3 linked regions of the Nothobranchius furzeri genome follow. The protein of the gene in region 2 interacts with the protein of the main gene of each other region in a pairwise test. Links are inferred from orthologs where the notes say so. Each region holds a gene or a part of one and is shown on either strand. Other genes may lie near its edges.

What was found.
Region 1: the proteins of sh3yl1 (region 2) and gfap interact in binary tests that used the Homo sapiens proteins (3 or more experiments, as listed by UniProt). The two-hybrid records come from large-scale screens. The link is inferred for Nothobranchius furzeri from reciprocal best matches to the Homo sapiens genes SH3YL1 and GFAP.
Region 3: the proteins of sh3yl1 (region 2) and sh3d19 interact in binary tests that used the Homo sapiens proteins (3 or more experiments, as listed by UniProt). The link is inferred for Nothobranchius furzeri from reciprocal best matches to the Homo sapiens genes SH3YL1 and SH3D19.

Annotation. Positions count from the first base shown.
Region 1 is NC_091745.1:10,095,734-10,100,217, reverse strand, and holds the start of gfap (glial fibrillary acidic protein), read right to left. Parts: upstream 2,898-4,484; 5' UTR 2,881-2,897; coding exon 2,342-2,880; intron 1,029-2,341; coding exon 968-1,028; intron 874-967; coding exon 778-873; intron 696-777; coding exon 534-695; intron 1-533.
Region 2 is NC_091743.1:82,703,558-82,707,752, forward strand, and holds the start of sh3yl1 (SH3 domain-containing YSC84-like protein 1), read right to left. Parts: upstream 2,967-4,195; 5' UTR 2,826-2,966; coding exon 2,825-2,825; intron 862-2,824; coding exon 751-861; intron 670-750; coding exon 556-669; intron 1-555.
Region 3 is NC_091747.1:80,371,559-80,375,887, forward strand, and holds the start of sh3d19 (SH3 domain-containing protein 19), read right to left. Parts: upstream 2,898-4,329; coding exon 2,856-2,897; intron 2,556-2,855; coding exon 2,480-2,555; intron 1,302-2,479; coding exon 1,258-1,301; intron 919-1,257; coding exon 880-918; intron 630-879; coding exon 530-629; intron 365-529; coding exon 305-364; intron 1-304. UniProt on the Homo sapiens protein: May play a role in regulating A disintegrin and metalloproteases (ADAMs) in the signaling of EGFR-ligand shedding. May be involved in suppression of Ras-induced cellular transformation and Ras-mediated activation of ELK1.

The sequences.
Region 1 (4,484 bases), on a different chromosome or scaffold from region 2:
CCCGTTAAAAAAAGCCAGTGACTTTAGTCGTCATTGGTAGTGAATGAGTTAAAAGTTGAGTTTGAGTTTTTTATGCAGGGTGAACATGAAAATAGTCTCCTACACCTATCTCCTGCATTACCTTCTGATAGAAAATAGATGGTGAAACTCTAGGATTTTAAAATCCTCACACATCTATGTCACACTATGAATTTGCATTCATGGTCTCGCCCATCTTGGCAAGCGCCCGTCCACAGGAAGGCTTGTTTTTTTTGCAGCAGGGAGAGCGAGCGGAGGGTGTTTTGGTGACAGTGACATGGCTGAACATGTTCTGTTAGCCAATCAGAAGCAAGACGTGTGCAATTCAATAATAGTAATGAGTAATTCTACTGTTTTCAGTCCATCTCTGCACCAGAAAACATCTGCATCTCATAACAGGAGCATCATAGCTTTATTTTTTTTTATGGCTCATAAGGCATTGAATTACACTAAAGAACACTGCACAAGTATTGAATAAATGAGTAAATCCCTCCTTTAAAAGTAAAATATTTGACCTTGGATCGGTACCAGTCCTCTGTCTCCTGCAGGTTTGAAGTGGCCATATTCTCGTACTGAACTCTGATGTCTCTCAGAGCAGCAGTTAAATCTGGTTTTGACACATCCACGTCAACGTGGACCTGTTGGGCCATGATCTGCTCCTGCAGCTCACGCAGCTCCTGGAAGAAAAACGTGGCAAAAGTCGTGATTTTGCTAAAATCTGTCTAGTTGTTTTGGACCAACTTCAGCGTTTCTTCATACTTCTTCATGAATTTTCTTCAGGAAATTAATTTCATCCTGCAGGGCCTCGATCTTTCTCTCCAACTGGACCCGACTGAGCGCTGCTTCATCCACATCCTGTGTGAATAATGAGAAACATCGCAGGATGACAGCAAACAACATTGAGATTGTCAATATTTTAAAGATTTTTTAATATTACTAATATTTCCACCTGTCTGAAGGCGTTCAAGCTGTTCTCTGCTTCCTGTCGGAGGCCCATTTCATCCTGCAGCCTGAGTCAAGAAAAATGTGAAGAGCTTCTTACTGAGAGTTCCCAGCCAGGAGGAATTAAATTACACTAAAATATTTCTGAAACATTTGATATGTATATATGTATATATATATATATATATATATATATATATATATATATATATATATATATATATATATATATATATATATATATATATATATATCACAAATGAGAGCACAATGTCTGGGGTCCTTGGGTCAGAAAAAACAAACTCCTGCGCAAAGTTTAGTTAGCTAAAGTTTAATTAAGAAAAATTAAACGTATTTTAAAAATGTGTTCAGATTTTTGTTTTGTCTTCTACTGAGCTGCAGAGGAGTGGCAGGACTCAGCTGAAAGAGCAGCGGCTTACGCATCATTACACTTCCAGTCTAATCTAACAGCCGGAGGAGACCTTTCCCACGGGATGGAACACACACACACACACACACACACACACACACACACACACACACACACACACACAGAGAGAGAGAGAATCCGTGTCAGCGCAGCACACAGACTGATCCTACCCACTAGAAGCAAATGAAACGTAGAGTGACATCATGCAGCTTCATGCAGAGGTTGCTAACAGAAAGAGCAGCACGAATTTTAAAAAAGGTGACCTTTAACCCCTGAAGCAGCAGCATCCCTATTCATCCTGCAATCTCTCACAGGACCAGCAGCTGCTTGGTCAGAGGGCAAAAAAAAAAAAAACCCTCCAGTTTCCACCCTGAGACTTTCTATTGGCCTGTCTCAAAATGAAAAAGCTGACATGAGGCGTGATGGTGGATGTGGAGAAAAGGAGCCGGATAACCAGCGGTGGTGACTTTGTGCTTTGGAGAAAGAGAGGAAAGCTACATCTGCCTGGCATTCTGTTCCCTTTGTGGAGCGCCACCATTGTGCTGCTTCATTCCTCCACACTGACTGAATGGCAGCGAGGGTTCAGTCAGGATCACGTTTGTAAAGAGGGATAGAGGAGTAAAGCCCAGGCAGACCACAGCGCTCTGCATTCCAACCAACCACAAACACATGTAAACAGAAGCGCTACGTAAATACAGACATGACAGGTGTATTTACAGGAATTAACAAAAACATTCTTCACAAGGTCAAATTACTCCTCTTTATGTAGTTTGAAGCACTGAGACTTTTTTGGGGGCTGTTCCGGTTTTCTCCTGGATTTATAAGCTGATGGGAAGAAAAGACTAGGGGAAAAGTTTTAATCCCATCATTATTTCTGTGAAGCATCAATAGGACAGCGAGCACACAAGACACACAAAGGCCCAGGTCTACTTTGGGACCGTTCTCTCCTACCTCTGCTTGAGCGTGCCCAGGTCTGCAGACAGGTTGTCCCTCTCTATCTCCAGACGAGCCTTGCCATTGGTGAGATCGTCCACCTGCCGTCGTAGATCTCTCAGCTCCATCTGGTAGATGTCCCCCAGGCGGCTAGGCTCCTTCCCCTTCAGCTGGTTCAGTTCTGCCACCAGAACTTTGTTCTGCTGCTCCAAAAGCCGCACCTTCTCTATGTAGCTGGCAAAGCGGTCGTTCAGGCCCATCATCTCCATCTTCTCGTTGGTACGAGTTTCTTTGTACTGGGCCTTCAACAAGGAGTCAGCTGAGAAGTCCAGCCGGTCAACGGGGCTGCCCAGCAGCAAGGCCGTGCTGGAGGAGCCCAGGGAGACCCGGGAGACGGGGCTGGAGTGGGTGATGCTTCGAGGGGCGCCATGCCAGGAGAGGCGGTGGGAAGATAGTCCACCTATTTTACCTCCTGAGCTGCTTGAGCTCTGCGGCCCAAAACGTCTCCTGTATGAGGACTGTGCTCTAAGGCTGTCCATGATAGGGAATAAGCTCATTCAGGGGACAAACAGGGCTTTTATATAGGGAGAAACCCCCCCACCCCAAGTCCAGCAGAGAGGCCACAGGCTGGGGCAGTGAGAGAGGAGGGTGGCAGGCAGTGAATGGAACAAAAAGAGATGGCAAAGGGGAGGTTTACATGCGCCAGGGATTGTCTGTGCTCCTCCACTCAACTACAAATGTCTCCTGGATTTTTTTTTTTACCCTCTCGTCTCCCCCTTTTCTCCCCTTGGGCTCACTCTTTCACGCTTACGTTCGCCCCGTTTTTGTTCGCCCTCTTTCTTTCTGTTCCAAGCGAATGAAAAGGAATTTTGTGCAACAGAGTCTGGCCACAAATTCAACCTGACCACACACACTCTCGCAGCCGCGGCAGGAGGACCGGTCCAAACAGAAGAGCATGTTGGGGAGGTCGGCAATAAAGACAGAAGATAAAATCACATGCTCACAGCATGCTTTGAGCTCTAAATAAACAAGATGTAGGACTGAACTATCAACATTCCTCCCGATTCCTGTTGGGATCTAGTTACGTAACGACATAACTGCTAATAAACTCGAGAATAATTTAAAACATTGGATTCATTTTTAGAGTTACAGGTTTTCCGTCCTGCATCCATATCTGCAATGCTTAAAATGAAGGAAGTATAGGAGGAGACAATAAATGAACACATTCTGAAAGTTTTATTTAAAGATAAACAGGAAGACAAATCAGCAAAGGTCTGACATGAGAGACCCTGCTGATCATCTGTGGCTCAAGCTTTCAGTGTTTGCGAGGCTGTTGGTAACAAATTAAATAAAGATTTAATTCGAACTGGTTATGGATCCACGCAGAAGCCAATCAAATAGTTCATGGACCAGAGCTAACATTTCTCAGAAAGGATTTAATCACTGGTCTGATAAATAATCATCAGTTATATAAAGCTACCTTCTCATTTCACAGTAGAGTAATACATGAATTCATCCTTTCAGCATTTGTGGGTAATGATAGCATTCATCCTGTCATCATCGTGGAGGATGCAAACCGCTGTAGAAGAAGAAAAGGAGTTACAAGATTTTGATTCTGATGATTGTGAACTAGTTTCAGGTTATTTGACATCCGGCTGCTTGGAGAGACAGATAGACGGAGTAGATGAAGAGGAGCACGACGATGAATACAAGAAGGACGGGGGGGGGGGGGGTTCGGTGAGTGCAAACCTAATCTGAACTTCAGAATGACAAACGGAGGCTGCATTACAAAACCCTTTTGACTCATTACCTTGACAACCGCTGGGCCGGCTACATCAGAGCACTTCAGCAAATCTTCTCTTGACTTTTTCTTCGTCTAAAGTCGAGCAGGAAGAAGAGAATGTGACCTGCTTTCTTCTGTAAGTGGCCAGAAGGGTCCCTCAGTGCAACAATGTTACCTAATGAGGCCAGGAAGCAGGTGAAGTGATGAACAGCTGCCAGAGAAGGGGGGAAAATAAATTCCCTTTAGCCTATAATCTTTATCGTCTTTATTTTTTTTAATGCTGTAGAAATTGTTGATGATAAATATAAATAACTGAGGAAATAGATCTTTGTATTATTTCACAGTTTTTGGTCCAACATTTTCAAACCTTTGTTTCCT
Region 2 (4,195 bases):
TCAGAGGTTAAAGGTCACAAATGAGATAACAGTGATGATCACAAAAGATAAAAAAATAAATAAAAAATAAACCAGAAAATGAGGAGGCAACAAGACGACAACTCAAACCCAGACCAGATGTCAAGCCTGCGTAATTATGGATGTCATTAATATTCATATTTCAGCTCTAAACTACCACAAAACTCTACATAATTAAAGCAATTGTTGGAATTATTTTGTTCAATCTGCTTTTAGTGCATGCTCGCATTTTGTAAAGAACAATAAAAGAAAAACTTTCTCCTTTTCTCAAAGACTCACACGAGTCTCGATGTTTTAAAGGCTAAATACAATACCGTTAACATCTGTACACCCGCAGATAAACAAAATCCATCTCATCACAGTTGAGGGTAGGGACGCCAACTTCCTCTCCTTTGCCGAATGGTGAGGAAGCACGTGGAAAGAATAATGGTAGGTCAAAACAAACCAGCTAACAGGTGTCCTTTTCCTTCTTGATAGTTGCAACATAGTCAAAGTTTGAGTGAGAGTACGTTCCACACAGCGTCCAGCCATACTCACGTCTGTCGTGGAGTCTGGCGATGACGATCCCGCTGCCTCCTCTGGCCGTCAGCACGAAGCCAGCCTTGATGACGGAGATGATGGCCAAACCTTCAGCCTTTGCGATGACATGAGCTACAACAGAACAAGTCTGCCTTTGAAAGATTGTTTATAAGAGGTCAAAGTTTACTCGGTTAGTAGAGTACAGCTCCTTACGGGGGATGAGTTTGTCCGGGCCAACCCTGTTGGTGATCTGGGTGAATTCCCTTAAGATCTTGGCTGCTTTCTTGGCCTCAGACTTCAGGTTGGATGGGATGGGGTTACTCACTGAAACCAGGAAACATGTTTGTGTTTAAAAGTTGTCTTTACCTCTGAGACCCAAAGACTCTACAGCTAAATAAAATTGAGGAGAAGTGTTAATTCTGATGGGTGACTCATGTTTGGGTTCTTTGTTCTCTTTATTAAAGAGCAAGTCACCCCCAAATCACATTTTTTTTGCTGATAAACTATATAAACGAGTGTCTAATCATGCTACAGGCACGTGTAGTCAATAATTTGGCAGTTCAGTGCATCTTGGTTAAAATTCAAATATTCTGCCTAAAACTGTCAGTGTTGCACCGTCGTCAGGGAAAAATTCTGCACTGTATTTGAATTTAAACCTGCCACCGCTATTGGCTAAGAGGTATGCTATGATGTCATCTGGTATATTATGATGTCATAATTCCATTGTGAGCCTGTGTGTGTTTGTATTTGTTAGCGGCTCCGCCCTCTCGGTCTGCCAAGCAACAGCATTTGTTGCATTTTTCAAACATGAAGTGGGAGTGAAGTACGTTTCTTGTAGGGGGTGACTTGCTCTTTAACAATAAAATAATCAAAATATCAATTTTAATTCCCTGAAAAAACTTAGCATCAGCTATAATAAATATGGCTGATTTGTTGAATGTTACCATGGCGTTCTCCTGTCTGTAATCTGTTTTAAAGACAACCTGTGATGAATGGGAGAGTTGAGTGTTGGTTTGGGAGTGAGTGAGCAGAGATGATCCAACCTGCTGCTGTAGCACATTCCTGTCACGGCGACACATCCACGTCCTCCACAGGAACAAGGGGATTCAGCTGTCATCACTAAACCACCGACTTGGTTTAAGTTTGTTTTTATGCCATTTGTAATCGATTTATATCAGAGCGTGTCAAAATTTAACCTTATTGAAAAAGGAAATCTAAATTATACGGTTTAAGTTTGAATTGAAAGGGTCTTCATGTCCAAGAGGAATGGAGCCCAGCTGATCTGATCTAATGTTGGATCTCATGATCCAGAGGATCTGTCATCAGATTTGAAATCATGTTAAATGACTCCACTAGTAACATTGTGTAGGTCAGTGGTAGACTACTTCTTTCCTTGAGACTCGGTGTTCAGCATGTTTTAGTCGTTTCCCTGCTCCAACAAGGTTGATCTACCTGCTCAGTAGCTCACCAAGCTCTGCAGAAGCCTGATAGGCCTGCTGATTTAAACCAGGTGTGTTGTAGCAGGTCTAACGAAAACATGCTACATACCGGCCCTGGGGGAGGGAGTTTACACCTGACATAGTTGGTGTTTGTTGATGCTGGGCAGCAGCAGCAGCCATCTTGAATCAGGAGAACCCCCTCCTGTAACTCAGGACGACCTTTTTACACCTTCAGACATGAAGCATGATGCCGATTCTGTAAAGGGTTTGTTGTTAAACGATTTACGAATAAAAATGATAAGTAAATAAAACATACAAATCATTTTATGCCTGATCTGGTGTTCTAGGTGCATCCTGCTGTGTGAAAAGTAACATCTGACCCCTTAAAGAACCCAAACCTCGTTATTTAGGCCTAAACACCCTTAAATCAGTGTACTCTGACACTTTAGGGCCAGGAGTGGGGAACCCTGGTCCTCGAGGGCCGGTATCCTGCATGTCTTTGCTCCAACCCTTCTGATTCAGGGGTTGATTCACATGTTCTGCAGCTTTTCAGGCTCCGCGGAAGCTTGTTAATCACCTGCTGATTGAAATCAGGTGGGATGATGCTGGGTTGAAATTAAAATATGCTGGATAGCGGCCCACGATGGACCAGGGTTCCCCACACCTGCTTTAGGTTCATTCTGCTGGTTAACGTGAGTTATTCCAGCAGGCCTGACCACACTCGCAGGTGTAATGGAGAACAGGTGGAACCTGAAATCAGAGCCACCGGACACCGAGCGAAACCACCAGAACACAAAGAAAGAACCAGCTTCAGGTTTGAATGTGTCGCACTTTCAGGTTTAACTTACTTTTCTTTCTTCGGTGGTCGTTTACCTGCCGACAGGTGAGCTTCTCGCTGCTTTTCACTTCCGCCTCACCTGACAACAGCAGCCGGAAATCACGCAACTGTCCACAGGTGTGCACGTAAAGCTGACAAGTGCCGCGCGCGCATGCTCACGTAGCTGGTGGAGTGTTGATTTTCTGTCAGCTGGGCGCGTTCCCGAGTCTGTTTGCGGGTTCCTGTCAGAGTTGTTTTTTCCTGAGTTCAGTCTGACAGGCGCACGGATCACACCCAACCTTTCTTTTATAATCGATTCATTATCTGAACCGCTTCATGCTCAGTAGGGATGCAGGCGGCTGTCCACGGTGTCTATCTCCAGCAGTCATCAGCTGAGCGGTGGGGGACACTCTGGACAGGTCTCCCGTCCATCACAGAGACCGACACACACTCACTGTGTGTTAAACTAACATTAAAACAGCTTTAATAAACTGTTAAAATACGACTTTAAGGAAACTTTTATCAACATTAATTAATATTTTACTGTCATTTAAAAGCTGTTTAGTACCTGAACGAATCTGAAAAACAGTAAACTAATAAGATGTGAGTTTTCAGGACCTTACTCCCATGTTTTAATCATTTCTACCAGCTCCTCTCCTTGAATAGCTTCCCTAGATAAACATCTGACCGCAGCCATCAGTCTCTCTGATGTGTTTCCATTCATGTGAGACCACCCAGACTCCAGAACCAGGGTGATGGTGTAGAAACAGACACGCAGAGCCAGGGTGGGACATGCTCTCTGAAAAGCTGGGTCTTTTCTTGACCGGGATGACCCCATATAGCGCTTGGTAGGCCATTGTCTTCTAAATCAGAGCCTGTTTATCTTCCAGTCTTCTCTGACTCCTGAAGTCCACCTGACTAACCCGGGTCTCCGAGTATGCTGGTCTATCACAAGTCCACATTGTCCTCCAGTGTATACCAGTTCCAAAAGGCCCCCCTTTCAAGATCTCCACCTCATAATTAACTATAGAACTTCAGGAACATATTTGAACCAGTCCAGACGAGTTGGCATCTCTTCTGTCTGAGGTACTTATATTCTCTGTAATATGTTTATGTTTGAGTTTGTAGTTGAAGCTATATGTAGAGTGTTTGACCCGTTGTGGTTCTGGTGTATGGTTTTATCTCTTTCTTATTCACATCTTTGCTTCTTTTTGTTATATTTGAGTTTCTTATGTGTTTAAGACCAGAAGAACCTTAGCCTGGCCAGCCTCTGTGCAGAATTAAACAGAGAGAGTCTGGCTGGCCAGGCTAGAAGAACCTGTCAGTCCAAATAAACCCATCCTTTGCAATCTGCAGACGTACATCATCTGGTTCAGCCCATCCCGCATTGATCCGTTTCTTT
Region 3 (4,329 bases), on a different chromosome or scaffold from region 2:
AATGTCCCCGTTTGTGACATCACAAATGGAGACTTTTTGTAATGGCTCGTTTTAGATACATAATTCCTAAAACCAAACACTGACAGACAAACGGATAGACAGATGTTTTCACATTTAGAGCATTTATAGAGGCAGAAACCCACGTGACAGCACACGTAAAAAGTGAGTTTTGCATGATGTGTCTCCATAAAAATAAAATCAAAAACATTGATGTTAGGCATTTTTATTAAATGTTCATTTTGCTTGGTTTGTGAATCTTCCTTTGTGTGTGTGTGGGGGGGGGGGGGGTGATGGGACTCTGTACCTCTGTAACCTGAGAAGGCCCCGCCTTCTCCATCCTTTGCTGAATAAAGCCACTGGGAAACTGAGGACACAGGGGAGTGACGTGGGGTCAGCCTCGGAGGGGGTTCCTCTGCATTAACTCTCCATTATTTTGGGGACTCAGGGTAATATATCTCCCTTTTTGTCATGTGTGTTTATTTCAGGTTCCAGGGGTATGGAGATTAAATATTACCCCACATTTGATTACCTAATATTTTGGTGGAGGATGTGGGCATGCAGAGCTGGTGAGCTGAGGCTGGAGCAGAGTGGGGGCTGGTTAGCTCCATGGAGGGGATTTCTGCATCCAGCTTCTCGCACGTTGATTTGCGCTCATGGACATTACGAATAATCAATCTACTCTCTCTCTCTCTGTGTGTGTGTCGTCCTTTAAGGTAATATGGGGTAAATTAATAATTACCTATCAATTGAAATATGAAAATACTGTGTGGTTTAAAAAATGGCAGCAGAGTATTTACAAGGATTGGGAAACATGAATGAAAACAGTGTAAATGCAATAATGGTGCTGTTCTGTGACAAAGAGAAGGCGAAAGCTCTTACCTGAAGTCTAAAGGTAGTCTGAAGGTTTTTCAGGAACATCTGCAAGGAGAAAATAAAAAGAAAAGCAGTTTTTTCAACAAAATTATTATTAAGGCTTCATTTCACTTTTAAAGTCAGAGTTTCAGCATGACTTCCTGGGTTGTGTCTGCTGAGCAAGGTTTCTGTTAAATATGATGAAGAATGGTTGTGGTGGTTTCAACTCATTTGCCTTGTTTCAATAAGAAAATCTGGAAACTTCTAAAATAAAAATAAATAAACATACAATGAATACATATGGGAACTGACATGTTGCATTTCCAGCCCTACTTTATTTACTCTAAACTGTCCTTTTGACCTCTCTGGATTACAGCTTCAGGCATTTCTGCAGGACAAAGAAACCGTCTCCGAGCCGTCCTTGGACAGGTTCTGCTCAACCACCTGTCCTAATGGCAGAAAAACAGACCCAGAACCCCTCTGATCCATCTGAATTGGAATTATTTTTAGTTTAGTGAAAATAAATGTTCATTTCCCTGAAGAGTTGGAATGAAATCACCCAGAAAACAGCCGTAAACATGCTAGTGTTAGCTAACACACCATTAACTGAAACAGATTTCTCAAGCAGATTTATCTATTTATGGTGCTGAAATCACACAGGTCCTCAGTAACTTACAGGTTTAGGAGTCAGCTGAATAAAGCTGACTCAGTCAGCCCAACCTCATATAATTCTGTCATTCTGCAGCAGAAATCCCATGCACCCTTAGCAAAGATTTAGACTGCTGAACCACCTTTTTCCTGGAGTTACTTTAAATCTAAAACTGAGACAGATGCATGCCACTAGCCTCTTCAGATGAGCTGCAGGTTCCCCCAGAATACACAACGCAAATATGACAAGCTTTAAATTCCAACTCTGACTCTCAGAGGATGTGACTTTTTATGGTTTCAACACAACTTTTGAGTCAAATTCATCACTCATTATTGAAATCAGTGACCAAAGCTCTATCACACACATCAGGTACTTTCTAAGGGTGCAACTAAAACCAACACCCAGCAGCAGCTGGTTTCGGTCACAACCCATTCTACCGGACTGCTTCCAGTCCAAACCAGAACGTCAACAGCAGCTCAGAAACCAGCAGGACCAACCAGTCAGATGACTTTCAAGGAGGATTTGAAACACATTCTGTACATTCACATTATTTCATGGAATATTTGGCAGTGACCTGATTTCCTTGTATTATAATCAAAAGAAGCAAAGTGACTAATAATCTATGTCCAACATGGATTTGAGGGTCTTCACATTTTTATGGAATACTGGGAGATCAAAGCAGCATTGTTGTTTCTACCTGCAGCCTGAAACGATGACGTCAGAAATCCACCTGTCACACCTGTTGCCTGTTAGAGCGATGGTTCTGCTGGTTAAAGTTTAACAGCTTGTTTAGGCCAGAGCTGACACAAGAGCCCTGTTTTGACCACCTTTGATGAGATTTGACACGTGAAACCCTTTTCCTGTACACACACAGTCTGATAAAAACAAGCAGACTTGTGTGATCAGCTGCAGCCTGATCAGAGCTAACATTCAACCCCGACTCCAACACCATACCGATAAAACTCTCCCATCTCCTACCTGTGTAGAAGTTTGAAGATAAGAAAATCCATGGTGGGTAAACCTTGTTCCCTTCAAGAGCTCTTCCTCGTGGCTCCTTTAAGTGTGATTAACAAAAACCTGAAAGCAGCTGTAACAACCCCCCCCACCCCACCCCCCACACACACACACACACACACACACAAAGAAAAAAGGGACGGCCTTATTACATTTCTCTCCTCTTGTGCTTACTCGACCAATCTGAGGAGCTGGAATGTGGCTGTTCAGGAAGTATCAGCGCTGCTTCGTCACTGTTCAGGTTAAGTCTCGTCCTTTGTTGTTTTAGACATGATGAGTAATTATTAAAGCAACAGCTTGAATTGCAAAAGGACAAAGTCATTAAGTCACACGACTTCACTGCTTGGACCAGCGTTTTTAAAGAGGTCAGAGACGAGGTCATGCCTCAAGTGGAGGAGTTTAAGTATCTCGGGGTCTTGTTCACGAGTGAGGGAAAGCTGGAGATGTGAGATCGACAGGTCGATTGGTGCTGCATCTGCAGTGATGCAGGTGATGTACCAGTCTGTCGAGGTCTAAACACCTGTTATTTCAGTTGTACACGTTTAACAGTTTAATCTTTGCATTTAGCTGAACTGTGAAATTAGCAGCTCATGCTAAATTTGGTAACTGATTGTTGAAGTTGTTGAACAGCTGAACTGAAGCTGAAACTAAGCTACACTGGTAAATGAGCTGAATGTAGTGAAATATGTGAAAGCAAAAAGCACCAAGAAGCAAATAAAGCACAAAAAGTAAGTGAAGAATCAAGAAAACAATCCTAAACAGCAGAAAACTGAAATCTCTGAACATTGTTTAAAAAACTGGACAGCTAAAACGTCTAAACACCTGTTATTTCAGTAGCACTAGTTTAACAGTTTAATTTTTACATTTAGCTGAACTGTGAAATTAGCATCATATGCTGAATTCAGAAACTGATTGCTGAAGCTGTTGAACAGCTGAACTGAAGCTGAAACAAAGCTAAACTGTCAAAATGAGCTGAATGTATTTCAAGATTTAGAAGCAAAAATCACCAACAAGTGTAATAAAGCTCAGAATATAGGTGAAGAATGGATAAAAAAATGCTAAACAGCAGAAAACTTTAATCTTTGAACATTTATTAAAAACTCAAAATTTGAAACGTTAAACAGCTGGCATTTGAATGAGAATAGTTTAACGGGTACATTTTTACAATTGGCTGAACTGTGAATTTAGAAATATTTGCTGATATCTGAAACTGATAGATTAACATGTGTTCAGATTTGATATGGGATGGATGAATGGTTGGATGAATGAAATAACAAATGGATTGTTGGATGGATGTTAGATGGTTTATTGGATGGATGGATGGATGGATGGATGGATGGATGGATGGTTGGAAGCATGTATGGATTTATATGTGGATGGATGGATTCCTTAGGCCAAGCCAATCGATTTGATGTATCACATGCATGGGTGTGTAATTCCATTTAGCCAGAAGATGACAGACCTCTCTCAACCAATCAGGGAGCTGGAAGGGAGTGGGGCACTTTCCCACCTTATGATGGCCAATCAAATTGAACTTGTTTCTAGTTTTAAGTACAGACAGTTCAAAAAGATCAAAAACAGGAGTCTGTTAATGGCTCAATATTCAGCTTTTTATATTCATTCCTATGAGACTTGGTTAAAGTGATTAGTAGTTCCTTGTGTTGCCATGGTAACAGATGACAGGAGTCTGCTTTAATAAAGCAATGTACAATGTCACATGACTCTTTTAAACTTTGAATAACATTTGTTACAGTTGTGTCTAAAATGTTATTAATTGTTGTTGCTAAGCACGTTGCCATGGTCACGCGGAACAC